Canis lupus familiaris: one gene and its partner. The protein of the gene in region 1 interacts with the protein of each later gene in a pairwise test. Links are inferred from orthologs where the notes say so. Each region holds a gene or a part of one and is shown on either strand. Other genes may lie near its edges.

Region 1 (3,649 bases):
CTGAATTAGACTTCTTTGGATAATATTTTATCCTTGCTCTTGCAAGGATACATACTAGATGAATGGTCTCGGGTAAGTTATCTAACAATGTGTGTGCCTTGGTTTCCCAATTTGTAAAATGAGAGCAATACTAATAAATGTACCTGTTGGAGTCATCGTGAGGGTTAGTTATCTTACTTCCTACAAGGTACTTGAAACAGTACCTGGTTTGTTACAAGTACTCATTTTAGCCATAAATATTATGATTTGACTAAACAGTTGTTCTTTTAGTATTCTCTGGGGTAGAATTAATGAACACATGCACAATAATAAATACAAAGTTGTTCTCTTCAATATTGTAAACAACAAAAAATACTTTAAATGTCTAGCAGTATGGGAATGGTAAACTATAATTTTGTTATTTTGTAATATTGTGTAGTTATAGTAATGAGGTAGATCAATGTACAAAGGTGGAAAAATCTCTAAAAATTAATTTTAAGAGACAATTTACTAGAGCACCTGGCTGGCTCAGTTGGTTGAGCATGTGACTCTTGATCTCAGTGGTGAGTTCAAGCCCCAGGTTGGGAGTAGAGTTTACTTTAAGGAAAAAAAAAAAAAAAAAAAAACAGTTTACAAAGTATCCTAACTAGGTTAAATAAACCATGCAGTTCACAGGTAATATTTGTACCTATATAAATTTACAATGAAAAGTTCAAAGCTTAAAAACCTAAATGTTAACAGTGGTTACATTTGAAATAGAATGGGTCTGTAGAAGGGAGGAAAAAATTCAAGATTTTCATCCCAGCATTTCCACTAGGTAGGTTAACAATGAGTGCTAACATAGGCTTTCTGCTCCTGTTATAAAATGAGGTGGTTGGAGTAGAGTAATGTTGCGGAGGACCTTGTTAGTTACAGTTGCAGTTAAAGCTGTTCTTTTTCTAAGAAGTCAGATACTTAGTAATTCTAGCTTTTGTTTATTTTCTTCAAAAATAGTTCCCACTTCCTGGCCTTTTTACCTATCTTACAAAAATTAGTTTTGGTGTTCACCTTTTGGTAACTTTCTCTTCTAGATCTTTTCAACTTTATTAAAATTTTTAGGATAATTGTTTAGAATAAAAGACCTTCTCATAATTTGTCCTTTGCTTGTGGGAAATAAAAGTAAATAAGTCAGAGTAGGTAACATCATCAAAATATTTGTGAACCCATTCTGGTTTACTTTTTTTTTTTTAATGTAAGCTCTAAGCCTGTTGTGAGGCTTGAACTCACAACCCCGAGATCAAGAGTCACATGCTCTGTGGAATCTTCAATAGCCAGGTGCCCCTATTTTACTTTTTTAATACAATCTTAAAAAAGAAGAGGCTGAGTAGTCAAATGTAATTAATTCTTAAATGAAACTGTCCATGAACATCATTGACCCTAGATATGTTTTGTTTTGTTTTGTTTTGTTTTATAGCTGACTTTGGGTTCTGTGCCCAGATCACCCCTGAGCAGAGCAAGAGAAGTACCATGGTTGGAACGCCATACTGGATGGCACCAGAGGTGGTTACACGGAAAGCTTATGGCCCTAAAGTGGACATATGGTCTCTGGGTATCATGGCTATTGAGATGATAGAAGGAGAGCCGCCATACCTCAATGAAAATCCCTTGAGGGTAAGACCAATTAAACACCACCAGCCTTATTTTTGGAAAAATTCATTTCTTTAGAACATTTATTGATTTATCTATTTTTTAAAAGATTTTATGTATTTATTCATGACAGACACAGAGAGAGAGAGGCAGAGAAACAGGCAGAGGGAGAAGCAGGCTCCATGCAGGGAGCCTGACGTGGGACTCAGTCCCGGACCTCCAGGATCACACCCCTGGCTGGAGGCGGCGGTAAACCGCTGGGCCACCAGGGCTGCCCCAGAACATTTATTTAGAATCTGATTGTGCCAGACACTGGGCAAAAATTTAGGATACAAAGTTGATATAACCTGGTCTCTACATCTAAAAATTATTTGCTTCTGGGTTATTGAGTTGAATGTGTTAGGTAAAAAGTTTGTAGAATCTTAGTAAGCTGTATGGTTTTAAATTTTACACTTAAGCAAGAATTTGCTCACTTTTCTACAAAGAATCTCTAAGTGTATTCTTCAGATTGTCAGCTTTGAACCTTGGCCTCTATACTGTCAGGTATACAGAAGAGGAAAAGAAGATCACATCTATGAGAAAGCTGTGTAGAGGGCAGCCCGGGTGGCTCAGCGGTTTAGCGCTGCCTTCCGCCCAGGGCGCGATCCTGGATACCGAAGATCGAGTCCCACGTAGGGCTTCCTGCATGGAGCCTGCTTCTCCCTCTCCCTCTGCCTGTGTCTCTGCCTCTCTCTTTCTCTCATGAATAAATAAATAAAATCTTTAAAAAAAAAAAAAAAGAAAGAAAGCTGTGTAGAAGGCAATGTTAAAGCTCACATTCAAACAAAAGAGTCAGGGCCCTGAGTTACATACAGATGGGGTTAGTAGACTACAAAATTAGATATTTCAGCAATGGAGGTAGAGAGATTAGGAGTTTGTTCTTTTCTTTTTCTTTGTCTTTTTTTTCTTAAGATATTTTTAAGAGAGAGAGAGCACGAGTAGGGGAGGGGAGAGCTAGAGGGAGAAGCCCCAATGCAAGGCTCTATCCCAAAACCCTGGGATCATGACTTGAGCCGAAGGCAGATGCCTAACTAACTGAGCCACCCAGGTGTCCCCTGTCTGTCTTTTGCTTGCTTGCTTGCTTGCTTTTTCCCTTCTATGTCTACTTTTATTTTATTTATTTATTTTTTAAGATTTATTTATTCATGAGAGATACAGAGAGAAAGGCAGAGACATAGGCAGAGGGAGAAGCAGGCTCCCTGCGGGGAGCTTGATGTGGAACTCGATCAGGGATTCTAGGATCACGCCCTGAGCTGAAGGCAGATGCTCAACCGCTGAGCCACCCAGGTGTCCCCTGTGTCTACTATATGACTCAGGATCATTAGTTATTAAAGAAATGCAAATCAAAACCCCAACGAGCTACTGCTTCATACCTTCAAGAATGACTGTAATAAAAAAGATGGATAATAATAACTGATAGAGAATGTGAAGGGACGCCTGTGTGACTCAGCGGTTGAGCGTCTGCCTTTGGCTCAGGGCGTGATCCTGGGGTTCCGGGATTGAGTCCCCTATAGGCTCCCCAGAGGGAGCCTGCTTCTCCTTCTGCATATGTCTCTGCCTCTCTCTCAGTGTCTTTCATGAATAAATAAATAAAGTCTTTTTTTAAAAAAAAAAGGAGGGAATCCCTGGATGGCTCAGTGGTTTAGTGCCTGCCTTCAGCCCAAGGCATGGTCCTGGGGTCCCTGGATCGAGCCCCACGTCGGGCTCCCTGCATGAAGCCTGCTTCTCCCTCTGCCTGTGTCTCTGCCTCTCTCTCTGTGTGTCTCTCATGAATAAATAAATAAAATCTTTTAAAAAAAAAGAAAGAAAGAAGAGAGAGAGAGAGAGAGAGAGAAAGAAAGAAAGAAAAAGAAAGAAGACAAGAAACCCACAATAAATAAGACGAGCAAATACAGACCCCCCCTCACCAATCCCAGACAAGACCCGCGCAGCTGCACTCCATCCCGCACCATCACATCCCCGCAACCCACCCGACACAAGTACAAGAAAATAACAGATTTCAGAG
Region 2 (3,749 bases), on another chromosome or scaffold:
TGCAATGTATGGCTTTGGGTAAAGTGGCTGCAGTTTCTTGAGAGGTAAAATCATAGAGCAGCCAAAATCTTTAAGATGCTTTGACGCACAAATAACAGTAAGTATATAGACAATTGAAATATAAAATAATTTCATCTTTGTGGAATCCAGGGGTAGTCCAGCCTTTGCTCGATCTCGAAAAATTTTTTTATAGGCTGACTTTATCTCTAAAGATGGTTTTATCCTCTTTCTTTCTGAGAGACTTTCTTTATATAGACTGATAATTGGTTGGACCAATAGATGGGGATCAGGATACATCATTTTCAAAAGGACTTGAGGTCTTTTCCTTTAGCAGACTTTGCCCCCCCTGCCCCGCCCCCGATCTAAAAGTTTTTTTTTTTTTTTCAAAGTTTTTGAAATTAGGTACCAGCCAGTTTTCCTTTCCTAGCAGAAAAGAGGATGTGGAATAAATAATTTGGTAAGATGTTTCCATGTCAAGTATTTTGGTAACTTACTTAGTTACTTACTTACTTTTAATCTTATTAGGCTTTTTTTTTTTTTTTTTTTTTTTGGTTTTGGTTTGTTTTTCTTTTTATTCTGTTTTCATTAAAATATTCTTCTCTGGGCGCAGTCATTATATTTTCAGAAAAGCTTAAGGGAGCCAGCCTTAAAATTTGCTCTTAATTTTTACAAATATAAAACAACCTTCTGGGAAGTAGATACTATTTTCACTGTGGTACTCTCCCAATCTGCTATGTAATATTGTCATAAATCTTGTAACGGTAGGAGAAGGAGGAGACTTAGGTGATTGTTTAGCTCTGGAAAAGAAGCTACTTCCTAACAGAGAGGATTTCAAATGGCCACATAGCAAAGCCAACATTCACACAGGTTTCCTGTGGGCCACTTCCCCTTTGCTGAACCTGACCCAAAGCCAAGGTGAAGGAAGGGAGAATTTCCTTTTATGAAGTCTCAAATCTCTGATAACTCACCGAAGCTGATTATTTTGTTGAAAAAAAAAAAAAAAACCTATAAAGTTAGGCTACTGTAAACTTGAAGAATTTCATGAACTTGCTTTTGAAGAACAATATTTGCTTTGGAAATGAAGAGAAAAAGTAAGAATCAACATGGAAAAATTGAGATAAGCTATCCCATTGATAAGAACACCTACAAACTTTAGAACACTCAGAAAACAAAAGCAACTGAAAAGATTAAGTTGTGGTGGCTACCTTATTTTAACTGTCACGCCTTAAAATATTTTATGTCCAATTTCATCCTTTCTGGACATACTTTAAAATGATTCAAATAAAAAAAATAAAATGATTCAAATGTTATTTTTATGTTTTACCTTAAAAACGTACTAATTAAAAATGTTCCTTTTAATTCAAGATACATACTGCCTAATGGACACTTAAAACCTTTTCGTATTCCTCCCTCCAATATTTCGTATTCCTCCCTCCAACCGCCCCCCCCCCATCTACAGCCCCAGGAAAATAAAAAAGTACAATAGTACAGCCACCGATCGTTACAGAAAAATGAGTGTTCTAATGTTTGTTCATCTTACCATTTCATTTATGAATGGCATGGGGTACATATATGAAAAGTGGCAAACTTCTTTCCCTAGTTGTGTGGTTAGTGGTGATTTTTTTTTTTTTTTTGGTAAAAAAAAAAAGTGTGTTGCAATCACACTACATTTTAGAACGTTTGCGTAAAAAGTTAGCAATCTCCAGGCGCACATGGAGTGAAATCTCTGGCGCCAATGCCTGGAGAGCAGGTCCAGGGTATTTCCCCAGTGTTAGTCATCCGATTTAAGGGTTTAGGGGGGGCGGGGGGAGGAGTGTTAGGATGCCAATCGATGTAGGAATTGTCCTAATAGTTCCAGCAAAGACCTTGGCTGTGTGTTCCGCTCCGGGACCTGGCCACTGCCGGCCCGCACCCCACACTGCCTGCTCTTAGAAATCAAGCAGGCCCCTGTGAGTTGGGGTGTGGCCGCCCGCACGGTGCCCCCCGCCCCCGACGCAGGGACCGGCTCTCCACCTTTCCTTACCTGCATAGTGGTCAAACACCGTGGGCACGTACTCCTCTGGGAAGGCGTCGTTGGCGTAGCTCATCAGCAGGCAGGTCTTCCCCACGGCGCCGTCCCCCACCACCACACACTTCAGCATCTTCTTGTCCTCGGTGCCACTGCAGCCGCAGCTGCGGTCGCCTCCCTCCGGGCAGTGCATCCCGGCGGCTCCAGCTGCGGGGACCGTGCAGCCGCCTGGGTCCTCCGGCTGCTCCCGAAGCCCCTGGAGCGCGGCGGGCGGCGGGCGGCGGGCGGCGGGCGGCGGGCGGGCTCCGGGTCACTCTGCCTCGCCTCGCGAGCCTGGGATGGCGCGGACCTGGCCCGGGCGGCTGGCACGTGCCCTCGCGCTTACCATACTGGTCAGGAAGGGCAGCGCACGTTTGGGAGAACGCTCCAAAGCCTCTGTCCCTGCTCCCCTCTAGTTTGAGCTAAGAAGCCCCCATCCTCTCGGAGTTCTGGGGGCTTGCTGGCCGTCTAGGAATGCCAACCGCCTGCGCTTCCCCCTGCGCTCCCCCCGCCCGCCGGCCGGCCGAGGGCACGTTGGGATCCTGCTCAGCCTTGCCCCCTTTCCCCCTTTCCCCCTTTCCCCCTTCGCATCTAACATGGAGGGAAGCTGGGCTTTTTAATGGAGTTTCCCCCTTGCTTCCTCCAGCTTGCGAGTGTCAGGAAATCATGGGTTTCCTGCTGCATTCCATATTAGGATCAGTGGGCTGGGGAAGGCTGCAACAATGGGAGCTCTGTGTGCGTGTGTTTGTACTTGTGGGGAACGCTGCCAGGGCAGGGAGTGGGAAAACACTAGGGGTCCCACTGCAGACTCAAGCTGTCAGACTTCCTGTTTCATCTGCTGCTGGGGAGGCTGTTTGCCTGGGGCTGGCTGGGAAGAAGCTGACGACAGGGGAGTGCTGTCCGCCCCAGACACAGAGGGAATGGTTTAGGGGAGCAGAGGGAACCACACCAGCCCGGTGCAGGATAACATATGACATCATCCCTCACTGAGTCACCAGCGAAAAGCTCTGCAAAGTAGAAATGGACAGTTCTGCCCATATTTCAATGAGGGACCTCAGGAAATCCATCCAGGCGAGAGAGAAGAAAACCTTCCAGAAATACACCGTGTCGAAGGGAAACACTCTTACAGATCATAGGTATAATATGCGTGATCAAGTTTATGAGCTGCCGCATTTGAGCACAACACTCAGACGTGTACCCAGACATAAACATCTGTATGGTTGTAGCACATAAGAAATCAGCCAGACACGGGACATTTGCAGCTTCTTATTAGCGAATAAACACACATGTGCTTGGCTTACGCTCTTGGAAACGAGAGTACGCAGGATGGCTTCCTTGGTTTCCTTCAGGTCCCCAAAATGCTGCTTTTGCGTGGACAGTTTCCTTCGTGATTTACTCCTGTCTCCTTGGGTCAGCCTGGTCCTCTTCCATTACAAAAGAGCCATTGGCAGCTAATTTATTTGTCCATTGGGTTGCTCAAAATGAAGCCCCCTTGAAGCCCTGTGTTTGATTAATGTACTTGGTCTTAGAGGAGATGTGGAACTCTGCAAATGATTTTGACAAATGGATCAAGTACTTTTTTGATGGGGGGAATCTCTGTTAATTTGAGATTCATGAGCATTTATTTTTCGAGCATTTAGATTATCCGATTGACTTGAGAAGGGTTTTTTCTTTTTTTTGTAGAGGAGATGGGAAAGAAGTC

Evidence for each region. The genes of interacting proteins can lie anywhere in the genome.
Region 2: the proteins of PAK2 (region 1) and RHOJ interact in binary tests that used the Homo sapiens proteins (3 or more experiments, as listed by UniProt). The two-hybrid records come from large-scale screens. The link is inferred for Canis lupus familiaris from reciprocal best matches to the Homo sapiens genes PAK2 and RHOJ.

What each region holds. Positions count from the first base shown.
Region 1 is NC_049254.1:30,553,451-30,557,099, forward strand, and holds part of PAK2 (serine/threonine-protein kinase PAK 2), read left to right. Parts: intron 1-1,432; coding exon 1,433-1,629; intron 1,630-3,649. UniProt on the Homo sapiens protein: Serine/threonine protein kinase that plays a role in a variety of different signaling pathways including cytoskeleton regulation, cell motility, cell cycle progression, apoptosis or proliferation.
Region 2 is NC_049229.1:38,078,470-38,082,218, reverse strand, and holds the start of RHOJ (rho-related GTP-binding protein RhoJ), read right to left. Parts: upstream 2,294-3,749; 5' UTR 2,202-2,293; coding exon 2,024-2,201; intron 1-2,023.